2 linked regions of the Oreochromis niloticus genome follow. The protein of the gene in region 2 interacts with the protein of the main gene of each other region in a pairwise test. Links are inferred from orthologs where the notes say so. Each region holds a gene or a part of one and is shown on either strand. Other genes may lie near its edges.

The links.
Region 1: the proteins of zc3h10 (region 2) and nfyal interact in binary tests that used the Homo sapiens proteins (3 or more experiments, as listed by UniProt). The two-hybrid records come from large-scale screens. The link is inferred for Oreochromis niloticus from reciprocal best matches to the Homo sapiens genes ZC3H10 and NFYA.

Annotation. Positions count from the first base shown.
Region 1 is NC_031984.2:21,202,820-21,210,637, reverse strand, and holds the start of nfyal (nuclear transcription factor Y, alpha, like), read left to right. Parts: upstream 1-4,205; 5' UTR 4,206-4,353; intron 4,354-4,359; exon of another isoform or gene 4,360-4,650; intron 4,651-5,124; 5' UTR 5,125-5,144; coding exon 5,145-5,225; intron 5,226-6,430; coding exon 6,431-6,517; intron 6,518-7,480; coding exon 7,481-7,627; intron 7,628-7,818. Other genes in the region: ngrn (neugrin), read right to left, coding at 2,640-3,216, 3,299-3,409, 3,523-3,758. UniProt on the Homo sapiens protein: Component of the sequence-specific heterotrimeric transcription factor (NF-Y) which specifically recognizes a 5'-CCAAT-3' box motif found in the promoters of its target genes.
Region 2 is NC_031970.2:23,961,457-23,969,789, reverse strand, and holds the start of zc3h10 (zinc finger CCCH domain-containing protein 10), read right to left. Parts: upstream 3,463-8,333; 5' UTR 3,277-3,462; intron 2,905-3,276; 5' UTR 2,762-2,904; coding exon 1,616-2,761; intron 566-1,615; coding exon 53-565; 3' UTR 1-52. Other genes in the region: dnaJ homolog subfamily B member 9, read left to right, coding at 3,899-4,130, 5,020-5,315; si:dkey-28n18.9 (sorting nexin-6), read left to right, coding at 5,861-5,866, 6,094-6,204, 6,333-6,440. UniProt on the Homo sapiens protein: Specific regulator of miRNA biogenesis. Binds, via the C3H1-type zinc finger domains, to the binding motif 5'-GCAGCGC-3' on microRNA pri-MIR143 and negatively regulates the processing to mature microRNA.

The sequences.
Region 1 (7,818 bases), on a different chromosome or scaffold from region 2:
GTAAAGTATGTCTGTTTCAGGACAGAAATTGTTTAAAATGTTGTCTGCAGTTCTAATTGCCTAAAGCACAAGGCCTCCTGTAATGCTAAGAGTTTGTAGTATAACATTTTTCTTAAACCTGATCTATTGTGATGAGACAAATGATCACTGTAGTCGTATAATTGTCATGTTTGTAACAATTTCAGCAGTTTTGGTACTAATCAATTTTTGCAAATTATATAACAATTGACAGATTGCAGTTCAAAAATATAGTTTTAGAGTAAAAATTACAGAATTACATAATTTTTTAAACCACACAAACATATAACCAAGTTAATCAATATCTGGAAATATAGCAATATGAAAATAGCATAACTCCTGCTGTAACCATGGCTGGATAAGAGCCAAAGCCATGCCAAGACTGTTTTGTTTGGTGGGTGGATCTCTGAATTTGAAGCTGTAGTGAACTACTGTTTTGTTTTTAATCAGTCTTAACGACTCCGTCTCATGTTGTTGTTTTGTTAAACATTTGTTGCACAATTATTTGTCTGTCTTGTTTTAAAGTTTAATTTATTGGTGAAAAGCTGGTTCAGAGTGCAGTAAATTGGATGTGGTTATACAAGTGCCTGGTGTGAGGACCTAATGTGTGGCCAGCATCTATTTACTGATTTTTTTTATTTTTTATTTTTTTAATTTATATCATCTGATATGTAATCAGTTTCATCCTGTATGTCAGTGACATCTCTAAGTTGCACTTGTTGCCTAAGAATAATTTTTGAGCAGTAAATGTCTGTTTTATATGAGCTCCCACCGAACTGCATGTTAACTCTCAATAATACTTATATCTACAGCTGTGAAAAGAAAATGACCTGTAATAACTTGGTTATTCTTTTTTTTTCTTTTTTTTCTATGTTGGTATGAGATTTAATACTGGCTACTTTGACAAGAGAGTGATCTTGAATAAAAGCAGAGTGGACACAGGGTTATCATGTAGCTGCTTTACACTGGAAGAGACCTGGCGAGTTCTTATTACGACCATTTATTGCTATAGGTGAAGGTAACACACTTTTTCTTAAAATTTAAAACTGCTGTATAAATGAAGAAGTCATTGTGATGGTTCTGTACATATACAAGGTTACACCTTTTTATCTGATATGTTTCTCTTTTCTGTATATTTGAGACAATTTTCTTTGGGTTTGCCAATAAATTCATATGTTCCTCTATTTTTGCTACGTGGTGGTTTGTCACAAACGGCAGTAATGCAGAAATGTGAGACTAACAATAATAATGGGTAACTGTCAACTGGGGATATTTTCACATGATTTATAAAAACCTAGTTCCAAACAAACAGAATCACATGAACCCAGATTTTATTCACAGTAGAACAAAGAAAACACATTTGTTAGAAAAAGAGGGGATGTTACATAATGGCACTCTCCAAACTTTTTGGACACGTCTTGTTACCATCAAATTCAAAATATTTTTCTTGTTATGGTACATGGTGGTTCAGTTTAAATGTGATGTTTTGTGTCTTTGACTGTGGATGAAATGTGGCTTTGAGATTTGCAGATCACTGCATACCGTTTTTGTTTACATTTTACAAAGCGTCCCAGTTTTAAGATTTTAAAAGGATAAGTTCAAAATTGTAGTTGTGTAACAACTGCAGTAATCATTCCTCTGGCATCTGAGTGCTTCTTTGGGGGCAATTGAATTGACTCTGAATTTTGAATGGATGTTGGTACCAGATGGGCTGGTCTGAGTATTTCAGAAACTGGTGATCTACTGGGATTTTCCAAAACAACCATATTTAGGATTTACAGAGAATGGTCCAAAAAAGAGAAAATATCCTGTGATCTCTGTTCTTTATGTGAAAATGCCTTGTTGATGGCCAGACTGCTTGGAGCTGATAGGAAGGCAACAATAACTCCAATAACCACTCATTACAACAAAGGTATGCAGAAGAGCATCTCTGAAGGCACAAGTTTGGGCTGCTGGTTGTGGTGTAAGGGTGTGGGAGATACTTTCTTGTCAGACTTTGGGCCCCTAGAGTGTCAGATTACATCTAACCTGAGTATTGTTGCTGACTGCATCCATCCACGTATGCACAAGTTAAACCCACCAGTAGGATACCAAAGCTCAAATCATCTCAGGCTCGTTCCTTGAACGTGACAGAGTTCACTGCACTCAAATGGCCTCCACAGTCACCATATGTCAAACCAATAGAGTACCTTTGGGATGTTGTGGAACAGGAAGTTTTCATCATGGATGTATCACATTTTCATCAATTGTATGACTTTATGATGTCATACAATTCCTATCATGTCAATATGGGCCAAAATCTTTGAGGAATATTTCCAGCACCTTGTTGAATCTGTGCCACTAATACTTAAAGCAGCTCTGAAGGCAGAAAGGGATCCAACCCAGTACTAGCAAGGTGCACCTAATAAAGTGGCCTGTGAATGCATTTGTCTATGACTTATATAAAAATTGACACAGGGATAAACTGGGAAGTCAATACATGGGTGAAATGGGCGTGAAATATCTGGACGAAAAAATATATAAGTGCAAATATCTTTTGCACAAAGATTCAAAATAACTTTTATTTGGTAATTTGCATGACCCCAACATTGCACATGCTGAGCTAACAACACAAAATATTCTCAGATTCTATACAAAAAGTTTCCATCTGCATCAAAGAAATCATTCCCAACTTGGACTGCTGGAGAGGGCTTTTCCATTTTCATAAGCTCTTCAAGTTCTTCCTCTGTCAACACCTGTCCATCCCAACTCTCTTCATCCTCCTCTGTAAGCTCACTCTCATTAGTGCTGCGCTCTGTTGTTTCTGTCACTGTGGCATCTTCACTAATACCAGCTGCAATGTGTGTGGGCTGAACAGTAACAGGGACAGGACTCTTAGCTAGGGAACGTGAGCCATGACCTTGAATCACCTGAGTCTGATTAGCCACAGGGATCAAAGCACCTTCTGTGCTCCCAGGTGGGAGTATGGCTTGTGAGTTCCTTTCGGGCAGTTTCAACCTGTCCTGCTGTGTCTTAGCACCTGAAGGCAGCACCTGCTGGCTCATTTTAGCCATTACTTTTGCATTCTGCTTGGCTTTTCTTTCAGGAGAGGAGATGAATTTGCTTCTCAGGACTCTCAGGATCACATCATGGCTGACAGAGAAGCCTTCAGCCAGACGCTCTACTGTCCACTCGTCTGGCTGATTTTGCTTCAGATATCTGAAAATTGAGATTTCATATTAGGCTTAATTTAAAACACTTCTTAGTTTACCATCTGGACAAACTTAACCCTCATCCTCACCTGATCTGCTCAATGGCATCCCAGGTTAACCTCCTCTCTGGAGCTCCTGATGGTGTCATCTGCCTCCTTAATATGTGATACTTCACAGTCTTCTGTCTTTTTCTCTCTTCCCTGAAACAAATCCCCAGAATATTTAATATATCTTGTCATAAAGACACCATATATTTATTATTTAACATCGTTTTACACTGGAGAAATGTGTGAAAAGTCCTACTGAATCTTACTGAATTAAAGCTTGCAGTTTGTCCTCCACGTCCTCCAGCTCGAGTTCTCCATTAGATGTCTCATCGCTGTATCCTGGTCTGCTTGATCCTTTGTCTGCCTGCGCAGGGCCCTGTCCCATCCGTGCCTTGCTGGCCCCTCTGCTTGCAAATCGGCAGTTGCTAGCACTCACTGAGGGAATCAGAGATGAAGCACCAAACTTGGAGAGGAGGGAGAGTATCTGCACAGACCTGGCCATGCCAATAAACGATGTGTCGTCCTTTTTTCTCTTTCGTTTTTCTTTTCTTGTTTTTTAGGGAGTCACTTAGGTGTCATGATAACAAAAACTTATTTTACTATAAATTAAACATAACCTTGCTGCTCACGCACTCATGGTACCACTCGTAGAAGTACTTCCGCAAACACTGGGCTCATAGCATAAAATCGGCGCTCTACTGCCAACTAGCGCTACGGAGGTAACATTATTACGTGTCCCTGTGCTGAACAAAGGTGGTTACCTCGACCATAACACTACTTAAATTGCACGCGTTGCAGGTTTAACGGTACTGATGCGAGAATAATTTCCACTGATAACATAATCGAATAGCAGTTAACATAAATAATACAAGTCAGGAGAAGTCCGCTAAAATAAGAAAACTCAAACTAAATGGCGACATCTGCCGAGGGGACACTGCAACGCTGCCTCGCCCCCCTGTTCAAGTGTCACGCAGCTGCGCACCTCTCTCCCAGTCGCCGTTGTTTCATTTGCGCCATTTTGTCCGCTCACTTTGTTGATTGGGCTTTAGCAAGCTGTACTGGAGCCAATCAGAGGGAAACCGGACAGCGAAGATACGGTAAGGAAGCCCCGATTGAAGGCATTGGTAGTTGTCAGCACGGATTGGTTTGTCATGGACCAACCAAATTACTAACCCTGCTTAATGCAAAAAACTCAAATTGCAGTTTGATTTCGACCGCTGCGTCCCAAGACCTACAAATAGCTTCATGTTTCTAGCGTTGGCCACCGCGAGGAAACATGATCCCCGCTTGGTCCACAAGCCTTAGCTAGCGTTAGCTTCTTCGCTAAAATATCGTTTCTCGAACAAAGAGAGTGGGAATAAAGCCACCGTTCGACCGTCAGCAAACACTGCCAGGTACATTATAATGAGCTGTAATAAACAAGCTGCCCACAAGAAAATATCCACGTTCGGAGTTGACGACACAAATAGTATCCTTATGCGCTTTCTAGAATTTACCACGCTTTTAGCTAGCGGACTGGCGCTAGCCGTGTTAGCTTCCCCAGTAAAATACCCGCTAAATAAAATTCCCCTTTGAAGGAGTCCAGCAGCTGACACAGCTGTGTCCTCCTGGGGGGATCATGTTTCAGCTGAAATTCGTAGACTTCACATTTGACACAATGCGACACAAGTCGGTGTGAGGAAGCACTATAAGGTCCTCTTTAAATATTGAGACCAATGAATTGAAAACACGTAGATATCGGTTAAAAAGACGGGGGTTTTTTTGTCGTCGTAAAAAAAAAAAAGATCATTTGTTTACATATAAAATGCACTGTAAACCATAGAAATCCAATATTGGCTCATTTGTATGTTTTGTCTTTGCCTCATCAGGTTTTTCACGGTAAAAAGCCATGGAGCAGTACACCACTGCCACCACTACTACTGGAGAGCAGATTGTTGTTCAGACAGCTAATGGACAGATCCAGCAGCAGGTGAGCTTAGGGTCGACAATTTTATTCCTTTTTTAATTAATTAATTATTTTTTTTAAAATTACCCTACCACCAGATATGAACTAATATGTAGTAAGATTATGAATACCAGAGGGTCAAAATAAAATAAAGTTTTAGGGATTCCAGTTGGATCATTGGATCTCAAATCATGGTGTCATTTCTGATCAGTCCTCCCAATTTGCCCTAAAAGTTTATGGTCCAGGGATTACCTGTGTGTATAAATATAAGTCGTGATACCTGTGATCTAAGTATTATTGAGAGTGATATCAACTATTTATTAAGATATAAATTTTTTTGAAAAATGTCCCATCAACCCACTTTCAGCATGTTTTTTTTTTTTTTTTTTTCACGCTTTGAAATCCGAGGCAATGTTTGAACATGGATATCTTTAACACTATTAAAGATAAAAGTGAAATTCTTTACTAAACTCTCGATTCATTAAACTGAACCAGCATCTGTAAATTGGGAGAGAGAAATTGGCTAGATCAGATATGAGAAAAATTAAAAGCAGTCCTGCAAAGTCTAATATTTGAGTAAAGATTAATAAAAAAAAATTCACATTGTAAAAGACAACTAGTGACAATTTCTTAACGATATATAGCTGTACTTCACAATAATGAAAAATAACATGTATAATAATTTTTAACATGAAATCCTCGGTCACAAACATGAAGAAGATGCTATTTTCATTCAAGTTTCATGCTGGATTGAGAAAACATGACACACATTTATACCACAAAAATATTAATAATCTAAATAGAACAGATCTTTTGTAATTACTCTACCTATAACCAAGAAAATAATTGTTTTAAAATATGCAAACTTTTTAACTTTTCAGGTCAAGTTTTTAAGGTAATTATGTTCAAACTTTGCTTGAGTTTTCAGTGTGCAGATTTTTTCTGCCTAAAAGGCAGAAAACTGGGTTTACTGGCCTTTTAAAATAAACAAATCTAGAAATATTTCATATATGAAGCTAACACTTCAAAGCAGGCATTATATATATGTCCAAGCTTCAGACCATATAATTTTTATGCAAATCAGAAATGGTTGACTATACATAGTTTTTTTTGTTTTTTTTAAAAAAAAAAAAGATTATTTGAGATGCAGTAATCCAGTTCCAATTTATTTTCTTGGTACTTTGTTGTTGAGTCTGTATGTATGAGTCTGTATCCTGCCCTGCCTGCAGACACAAGGCACAGTGACGGCTGTGCAGCTGCAAACAGAGGCGCCAGTGGTGACGGCCTCAGGCCAGCAGGTGCAGACACTCCAGGTAGTGGTGTCACCGCCGCCCTGTGTCAGTGTCATGACTGTTTCACAGCCTACCGGTTTGCATGCCATAGCCAGGGCTGTTTGTATTTTTATTTTTCCAGGACCCATCTGTGCTGTTTGGTTCATCATTTCCCTCCCAAGCATGTCTTGCAACTGCACGTTCCTCAGCACAGTGTTTTGTGTGTCAGCCTCCAGTTATTGCTTTTGTTCTCATGGCTGTCTAAACTGAGTTGTGCTTGTCTCTTGCTATTAAAAGCAAGTTTAGAAAGTCAGACGTTCTTGTTCTCAAGTGCCGATGGCTGTGGAGAAAAATATGCAGAATATACAACAGAACATCTTTCTGAGGTCTGCATGGATCCACATCCATTACTGGCTGCCACTGTTCATCATAGTCTGATATTTTTCTTACTGTTGTGCTGAATAATGTCAGCAGGTACTGTTGCCCTTGCAATTTTTTTTCCTGTCATGCTGCTGCTGCTGCTGCTGCTGCCACAGACCATAATTTGTACGCTGTGGTCACTTTATGGATGTAAGATGAAACATCAGTACTTGCCAAGTTGAACATGTAAATGCAAATTAATTTTACCAACATCTTGACCAGAAAGGTACAGTAAGCAAATTCAGTTCTTGTAAGCTCTTGTTTCAGTAGCAGTATGGCTGTAAATACAAGACCTAAATTCTACATACAGAAGTTTTGTATTTTTTGTAGCCTAAGCTCATGAGAAAAATGATTAAACATAAATTAGATACATTGGGTCCAGAAACAATCTATGCTATGTAACAGGATGCTTTCATGTTTGTATTTTAGGAAACAAAAAACGTGAGATCAACAAGTGCTTTTATCCACAGTGTAGAACCCTGGATGTTTCTCATGTCATACCACTTGCATGCAGCTCTGCAAGTCACAAGAGACATTGAGACGAACACTGTCAGTGCTGCTGTAATAGCTGTCTGAATCTCCCTGTAGGTCCAGGGACAGCCTCTGATGGTTCAGGTGAGCGGTGGACAGCTCATCACATCGTCAGGGCAACCCATTATGGTGCAGGCCATGTCCGGGAGTCAGGGTCAAACCATAATGCAGGTCCCTGTATCTGGAGCTCAGGGATTACAGCAGGTAAAGTATCTAAATTAAATTATACATTGTCTTTTAAAGCAACACTGTTTACTCTGGAATAATATTAATAGTAAACTAACTATTAGTATAAATTTGGAAGTAAACGCTGAAGTTTGAGAAGCACTTTGTACACTGAGTAGTTTTTTTTTGTTTTTTTGTTTTTTCCCCCTGTTGATATTTTTAGTGTTCAT
Region 2 (8,333 bases):
GTTCAAGTACATTTCCAGTTCGGCTCATGGGTATTACGGCCCCTGCATTCATTCAGTGTTGCAGGGTTGTGATCCTCATGCTTTGACTTGCAATTGGGTACGACACCATTGGGGTGGTGGCGTGACTCATCGTGATCCCGGGAATTGGCTGAGTCATGGACACTGCCACAGGTGCCACAGATACTGCCACTGGCGCCATAGAAACAGGGGGTGCCATTCCCTGGGCAATGGTCTGTGCGAGGGCGGCTGAGAGGGGGGTTATCTCAGGATTGAGGTGTGGCGGAGGAGCTGTGGGTGGGGCTGCATTGGTTGGGGGGGCTGCAGGGGCACCAGCGGGAGCTACGAGGTCTTGCTGGGTGACTGGCCGAGCTTGTAACGGAGCACTGCTCAAGGTGGTGTGAGTCTGGGCGATGCTATGGTTGTAGGAACTCACGGACCCTACGGGGGGCGCCAGATTCTGCTCAGTGGGTGCAGGAGTTGAAGACAGTGTCATCACTTTGGCCTGGCTTCGGAACTGGGCGTTCTGCTCCAGAAGAACCTCATTGGTGGCAATGAGATTGGAAACCTGAAAAACACATAAGAAAGAGCTTAGTATAAACAGGCAGAAAGTTCATGACAGGAAACACAGAGACATTAAATATTTGAAATACGCAAAGGTTTAAAGGAAATCATTTACAAGTAGTCTTACACTTCATGTTAACTAATCATAGTTTTACAGAAAGAGAAGGCAAAAAACTGCAGAATCTGAGTGTTTGTGTGTCTCATGATGTTACAGTGTCTTTTCCTTTTACCCCCAAAACATCCAGTGGGCCTTTTTGTCAGGTGACTAAAGGGGAAACAAATTTTTCCCCATTTACTCCTGCACAGCCGTCACTTCATATTAACTCTTCAGTAACTCATTCCCCTTCAAGTCCACTATTCTGGCCAATAGGCAGAGCATTTACAGCAGTCTAAATTCTGTGCTTCTGGACATCAGATGATCTCAGTTCTTACTAATAACATCAACCATTTTAACAGTGTGTTCCTGGGTTCTTTTCCAACATTTAAATCCCATCTGATATGATGTGATTTAAATGTTGAAAAAGAGCCCAGCAACACAAAAATGTGTCATTAGCATCCTCCAAAAGGAAGAAGCAACAAATAAATAGGTTCCTGGATGATTCTTTGTTTAGATCAGCAAAGTTTGCTTAATTGTAACTACATGAAATAAAGTCCTCCTTTGTCGCCAACTCCTTTCACCTGATATTTACATTTTTATTGTAATGTTAATGTAAACTGTTGATCGCTGGAATTTTAATATGCAAGTCTGTCACCAGACACCTAATCACACTTCTAACAAACATGGGACAATAATTCTGGTGGATTTTTGGATATATCGCTGAGATGCTGTTTGGATCGGCCTTTTCTTTGAACTGGTTATTTTGAAAATACTTTAATCTTTCCAGGATGTGTCATAAAATACCTCAAAAAAGTTTCTGTTTAGTTGGAATTTGGCAATGCTTGTTTTGCATGTATCTCAGTAAAAAAATAAATAAAAATGACTGAAGCCATTTACGTCCTGCATCGGTGGCATGACTCCATTCCCAGGAAGTCATAATATCATTCTTATACCTACCTGCTTTTTCAATTCTTCCACTCTCTTCCTTAGCAGGGAATTTTCTTCCTCTAGGAATCTGTACTCCAGAGGACGAGGTGGCAAGGTGGCTTGAACTCCCAACTCGTAGTGCCCACCTCCACTCCCATCTGTCAGACGCAGCCCCTCCAACCGTCGCCTCTTTAACTGTAGAGTGGTGTGGTCCATAGAGGCCTCCAGGGAACCAGCATCAAACAGACTACTTTCAACCAGAGGGTCAAACATTGAGCATGTGCTCCTGTCATAACGTCGCTGTCCGGATGAACTTATGGACAGACACCCACTCATTCCACTTCCACCAACTCCTCCAAGACCTGAGATACCTGGATCTCTGCAACCACCCAAGCCGGGGCAGCTGGTCCCCATCATATTACCTCCACCCCCTGCGCCACCTCCCACAAGTCCCTGCATTCCTCCGCAAGCACCTCCTCCTCCACCCATGCCTCCTCCAGCATTCACAATGCCACTGACACCTGGCCCCATAATGCCACTCACTCCAACCCTGGTTGGTTCATATTCACAGTCTTTTTTGACATGGCGAAATTTACATTTATTGCCCCTCTGGCACTCTCCCTTCAGGAAGTCTCTACAGATGGGAACCTCACCGCGGCTATGGGGGAGGTCCATGGGGGAGAGGCCTAGCCGTGCAGCAACTTTCCCTCTTAGTCTGAGAGGTAACTCTCCTGTCTTCTTGTAATAGTCCTCATCCTCTTTGGATCCGTGGACAAAGCGACAGTTGGAGCGCATGCACTCCTTATTTTGATGATCGTGACAAAAGATGAATTCGTTCTTCTGCACTCCCAAGTCTGGCACCTCGTTAAAGTCTGGGTGTCTGAAGCGGCAGCGCTTCCCTCTCTTGCAAACATTGCGTATGAAGTCCCTGCAGACGCCATCCAAGGCCAGTCCAGCACCTTGGCCTCCACCGTTCCCATAGCTGTTGCCATTTCCGAGCGCTCCTCCTCCACCCATACCCCCAGAGCCAGAGACGCTTCCTCCAACACTACTTCCCGAACCTCCTCTGCCCTCTGCCGCACTCCCTGCCAAACCAGACCCGGGTCCCCCTTCTTCACCCAGACTACCACCACTCCCACCACCACCTGACAGGTAGGAACTGTCCCGGTCAGGCATGGCGCTCGGCCCAGCTCAAGGAGAAAGGAGCACTCATGTGTGTTTGGGAATGGCAAATGTGAGCTGGTAAACATTCACATACACAGTAGTAGTCATTAATTGTTTCTTCACACTCGAAGTATTGCAATCTGCCGTTTAATTACCTGCAAGACAAAAACACGAACCCAGCATGAGACACTGGCGATAGAACTAAAGGGGGAGATTTGAATATCGACATGAAAGACAATAGGACATGTAAATGATTACCTTAGAGAAGGTTGGGACAGATATTTAGCACGTGACAACACGTCGTAAACAATAAATAGCCTCGCTTCTGTTTACATGGTTCTTTGGTAAAACACTACAAAACATCAAATAAATTAAATGCAACGGATTTCAACCAGTAAATAATGCATACTCTGTCGTATTATATTCCAGAATAGGTTAGCCTAAAATGGTGCTACGAAACCGTCGTCTACCATGGGTAGCTAATGGCTAGCGAACATCTAGCTAACTGGGTACTACTGTAGTCTTACCAAATCGAAGGATAGAGAAGGATCCAAAGTACAGCTGAGAAGCTCCCACGAAGAAACAACTTCCTCTAACTGAGTCAACAGACACCGCTGCTAACAAAAGCAAAAAAAAACTTGCGTTATTTTTAGCAGTTCCTCGAGGCCCTGGTGCTGTTTACCACTTTTCTTCATGCAGCTTTCAATACCAACGAAGAAGAGCGCCGGCGTCTTCCTTATTTTTTCGCTGATTGGGATTTTCTGCCCTCTATTGGTGGAAATGCGGAACACCACCTTAGCGTGTTCATTATTTGGTCACTTTTAAAACCACGAAATAATTTCGTGCACGACGTAAAGTTGGATTCACGGAGTCTTGCAAAGTCTGTAAACGAGGTCACTTTTTTCTTTCGTGCCCCTGTTTTTGTCGTAAGCTCCACAGAAATTGTCGTAAATACACCAACAACTGCTACTTTTGGTGTACTCGTACTACAAACACAGTGCTGACGTGGAGGCTTTACGGCGTTGTGTGGATATGAAAATGAGACGCTAAACCACAAGGTCTGCCACACTTCGAGATAAACTGTTGTGCACATGACGACGTTTGTTTTGAGTTCCTCCTCACTCTCTCTGTGCTGGGGCGCTCCTCGACATGGCAGTGCAAGGTGCTTCCTACTGGCTGCGACCCTGCATGCTTCTGCTGCTCTGTCTATCTGAAGCCTTGTCCGAAGAGATAAACAGAAATTACTACGACACTCTTCATGTTGAGCCAACAGCAACGGACAGCGAGATAAAAAAGTCTTTCCGAAAACTGGCCGTGAAGTACCACCCTGATAAGAACAAGAGCGCAGATGCTGAGAAGACCTTCAGGGAGATTGCTGAAGGTAAAGGATGAAAGGATGCCTCCTCCGACACACTGAAACGTTTACATTTTACAGTGTAAATACGTGAACGGTTTTATTACTATTATCAATATTATCATTAGTACAATATTTTATAGTAAACTAAAAATTACTTCACTATGGAAGAAGCTGAGGTACAACAAAGCCACCATATGGAGTTAAGTTAACTAAAACTACTCAAAAAAAAGTTTAAAAATAGTAGTTAAAAAATAAATGGAAGTGTGATTTCAGAAAAAAATTCCCCCTGTTTAAAAAAAATCGCTGTTCTTCCTGGCAAAAGTGCAAAAATGTACTTGTTATTCCCATCAAACAGGCTCTTTAAGAAGCAAATAAGCTCAGTAAGGTACCTTATTAAATTGCATGCAATAACTTCCATGAATAGCTGGTGATTTATGGAGGTTTATTATTAATCGGTCAATGTCACTGTTTGACCTGCTCTTCTGCAAGTGCCTGTTGTGGATGCAAAGCTCTGACATTGATGATCTGATAAATGCATTGCCTAAACGGGATTTCACAGAGCAGCAGGGGTGGGGCTTTTTAAAGAAGCAACTTTTCTGGTCCATTATTAGTGTTTCAAGGTTTAGAAGTCAACTACATAAAAAAAAAAAAGATGTAAATAACTGGAGGCCAGCTGACTCTTGCAAAACGAAGTTAAGCTGCTAGTTTAGTTTAGCTACTCTCTAACATTTCACACAGGTTGATGTCTGAGCAGCTTTAGCTTTACCATTTGACTCTAGAGGACTTTGGTACACAGACTAGTTCATAGTTGAGTCAGTGACTGCCAGGTGCCCAGGCGTTGTGGTTGCTTGTTTGCAACCACACCCCTCCATCACCAAAGTTGACCTTTTCCCCTCTAACTGTCTTTCCTTAGCCTACACAGTCCTCTCAAACAAGGAGCAAAGGAGGGTGTATGACCGTGTGGGCCACGAAGCTTTCCTGAAAAATGAGGACCTAGTCAAGCCTGAGGATGAGTATCAGACAAGCTTCCACTTCAGCTTCTCAGACGTCTTCCACGACTTTGATGACAGTCTCTTTGGTGGACAGTGGGGCTTTCACCAGGAAGAGGATGAGGAGGATGGTCGTTATGAACCCTACAGTTTTGAGGGGGAGAGATTTAGCTTTTATTTTGGCGATCCAGATGAATATGAAGAAGAGTACTACTTCTAAAAGGTTTTTTTTTGCCCTGTACTTGGAATGACTGTAACCTTTTAACATGTTTTCTTTTATCGATAATAAAGTATTCTGTCTAAAATGCTCTCTCAGTATCTGTTTCTAGTATTCATTATGTAAAAAAAAAAAATCACCTAAACAGACCCTTTGAACCTGTTTGCATTCTTCCCCCTTTTATGAGCTCACTTATAAATTCAGCAGCTGTGGGGTTGTAAGGCTGGCTGCTAGATAACCGACTGAGCCGTTATGCCACTTTTCCTGTGTGGGTGTGTCGAAGGTCCAGAGTTACTCACTAACACACTATTTACTCATCTTTTTCCTTGCGCCAGCACTTTAGATTTGGCACCGTTTTACTCCATTTCTCATGGGACCATTGTGCACTTTGACCCAAAGGATATCCTGTGCATTCTCAACACTTGGAGCTCGAGCAGACTAAAAGGCAACAGGCAAAAGCTCTTTCCAGTTTTATGTACTTTTAACACGCGAAAAGGACAAACCACAAAGGCAGATAAAAGATAGACTGCTAGTTTGCAAAGCTGACAATGATGGTGAGTACGCCTGTAGATTTTACAGGATTTGTAAGCCTCTGAGTGTCATGTGACAGGCTTTTACTCCTCGCAGACATTCATGAGTACAGTGTCCTGAACTATGTTTTGTTCTCCCTTTAAATTTAGTTTGCGCATGAATGTGACTTTAATCTCAGCCTGTACTGAAGCCATTTGACTGCTTCTGCTGTGCTGTACTGCTTTTGACCGCTTTGTTTTTTTAATTGCAGGAAGAAGTGAAAGAAGCGGCATCTGTTCTGAGTGTCCATGACGACAGCATCAAAGTTACAGAGGTGTTGAAAGACGGGGACACTCTCACCTTTATCATCGTATCTCAAAAGGTGAGATTCATTAAACTGTCATCTGGTTAGATCCAGGCGAATGACACAAGAACCATAGAATTTGTCAGCCTATTTATTTGAACTATGATTTTCCAAAAGCAGTTGGTTGTCTTTCCTTTCTGTTCCAGCTCTCTGGTACAGGGGAGTACCATGTGGACCGGACCTATGAGGATTTTGAATGGCTGCAGCAGCACTTGTTCTCTCAGGAGGATGTGCCAGGGATACAGGGAGTCATAGTCAGTACTTGTTATTCTTGAATATAGTTTATATGTGCTTATTTGACAATAACTTGATCAGGGCTGGAGTACTGGTGGCTTTAGTGCCACAAATGTTGAATCTTGGAACAGCCTTTTTGTGTGTACAGCAAGTGCTAGCTTGAAACTACGGAGAAACTTTCAGACCAATTCAATTCATCGACTGATTCTGTTGCTGCTAAGAAAATGTGCTGTTTCTATCCAAGATACAGTCATGGTTAAAAAAAAGTAAACCCTCTTTCAGTTCTTGTATTTAAATGTCAGGATATAATAAATTATCCAGTCCTTAGAAGTTCAACCTCACATGAACAATAGCACATGACATATTACAGAATGAAATCATTTATGTAACAAAAACTCTGTCAAGCAGAAGCAGTGTGAGAAAAACTAAGTACAACCCTTGATTATATAGCTTGAACCACCTTTTGGCAGGAATAACTTGGAATAATGTTTTTCTGTAAGACTTTATCAGTCTCTTACATTATTGTGGAGAAATCTAGACCCATTCTTCTTTATAATGTGATTTCATTTCATCAAGTTTTTTAGGCATTCATTTATGCACAGCTCTCTTAAGGTCCCACCACAGCATTTAGGTCAGGTTGATGTCTGGACTTTGGGTCGTTGCAACACCTTTTCTTTCTTTTCTTCTTCAGCAATTCTGTGATAGATTTGCTTGTGTGCTTGGCATCATTGTCCTGTTGTAGGACCCAGTTTGGGCCAGGTTTTAGGTTTTGTTGGACAGATGGTCTCACATCTGACTCTAGAATTCTTTAGTGTACAGAAAACATCTCTCCTCCACCACCATGCGTAGCAGTTGTTAGGAGGTGTTTGTCTTGATATGCTGTGTTTGATTTTATTCGTCCAAATGTGGCGATGCACATTATGGCCAAACACCTCCACTGTGGCCGTGTCTGTCTGAAGGATATTGTTCCCAAAGTCTTGTGATTTGTACAAATGCAACAATGCTAAGCTGTGCAAGAAGAGGCTTTGCAAACCTTGCAAACTTTCCAAACAACCCATATTTGTGCAGTCTTTTTCTAAATTTACTCTCCTGACCTTTAACATTTAACAAGCTAGCTCTTGAGATTTTTCCATAGATTGCAGTCAGCCCTGGTGGGCTGGGTGGGATGTCCACTCCTGGGAATATTGGCAGCTGTCTTGAACTTGTCAATAAGCTTTCTCACAGTAAAAAGATGAACTTCAAATTCTCTGGTAATAGCTTTCATAACCCTTCCCAGACTGATGAGCAACCACTATTGCTGATGAATTTCCTGGAACTGGGAAAAAGTGAACATCTGTTAAGTATTTCTACACAAATCTTTATGGCTGCATAGATTCAAAACCCCCCAAATGCACTGGATTCACCCAGACCCACAAACATGGGCTGAGTAACCAAAACATGAACACCACACAAGGGTCAAATGAATAAAGACACAGTGTAATATGCCATGTATTGTTGTGTATTTGATGTTGTGTTTAAATAATGATAACGATGAGTTTAAAGTTAAATTATTTAAACCCACCAAGGTCCAGATGACTTTTATTGTGTCCTGGTATGTAAAGAATTAAAAGAGTGTACTTTCTTCTTGCCATGTTTGTACTGCTTTTTGTTGTTTAAAGTCCTTCCTGCTTTTCCTTCCTGTGTCCTCCTTCTCTTTTGTAATCAGCTGATTTTATCGTTGCTATTTTTGCCAGCTGCCCCAGTACTGTAGGGAATTAAGTAAACAATGTAGGGATTACTTTTTTCAAAGAAAGTCAACAGTACACCATCAGGATGTATTTTTTTTATGGTACTTCCTACTATGACAGTGTGTGTTGATGTTCTTTGTAATGTATTACACAAGCACATTGTGTAATATCTGATATAGTGCATAG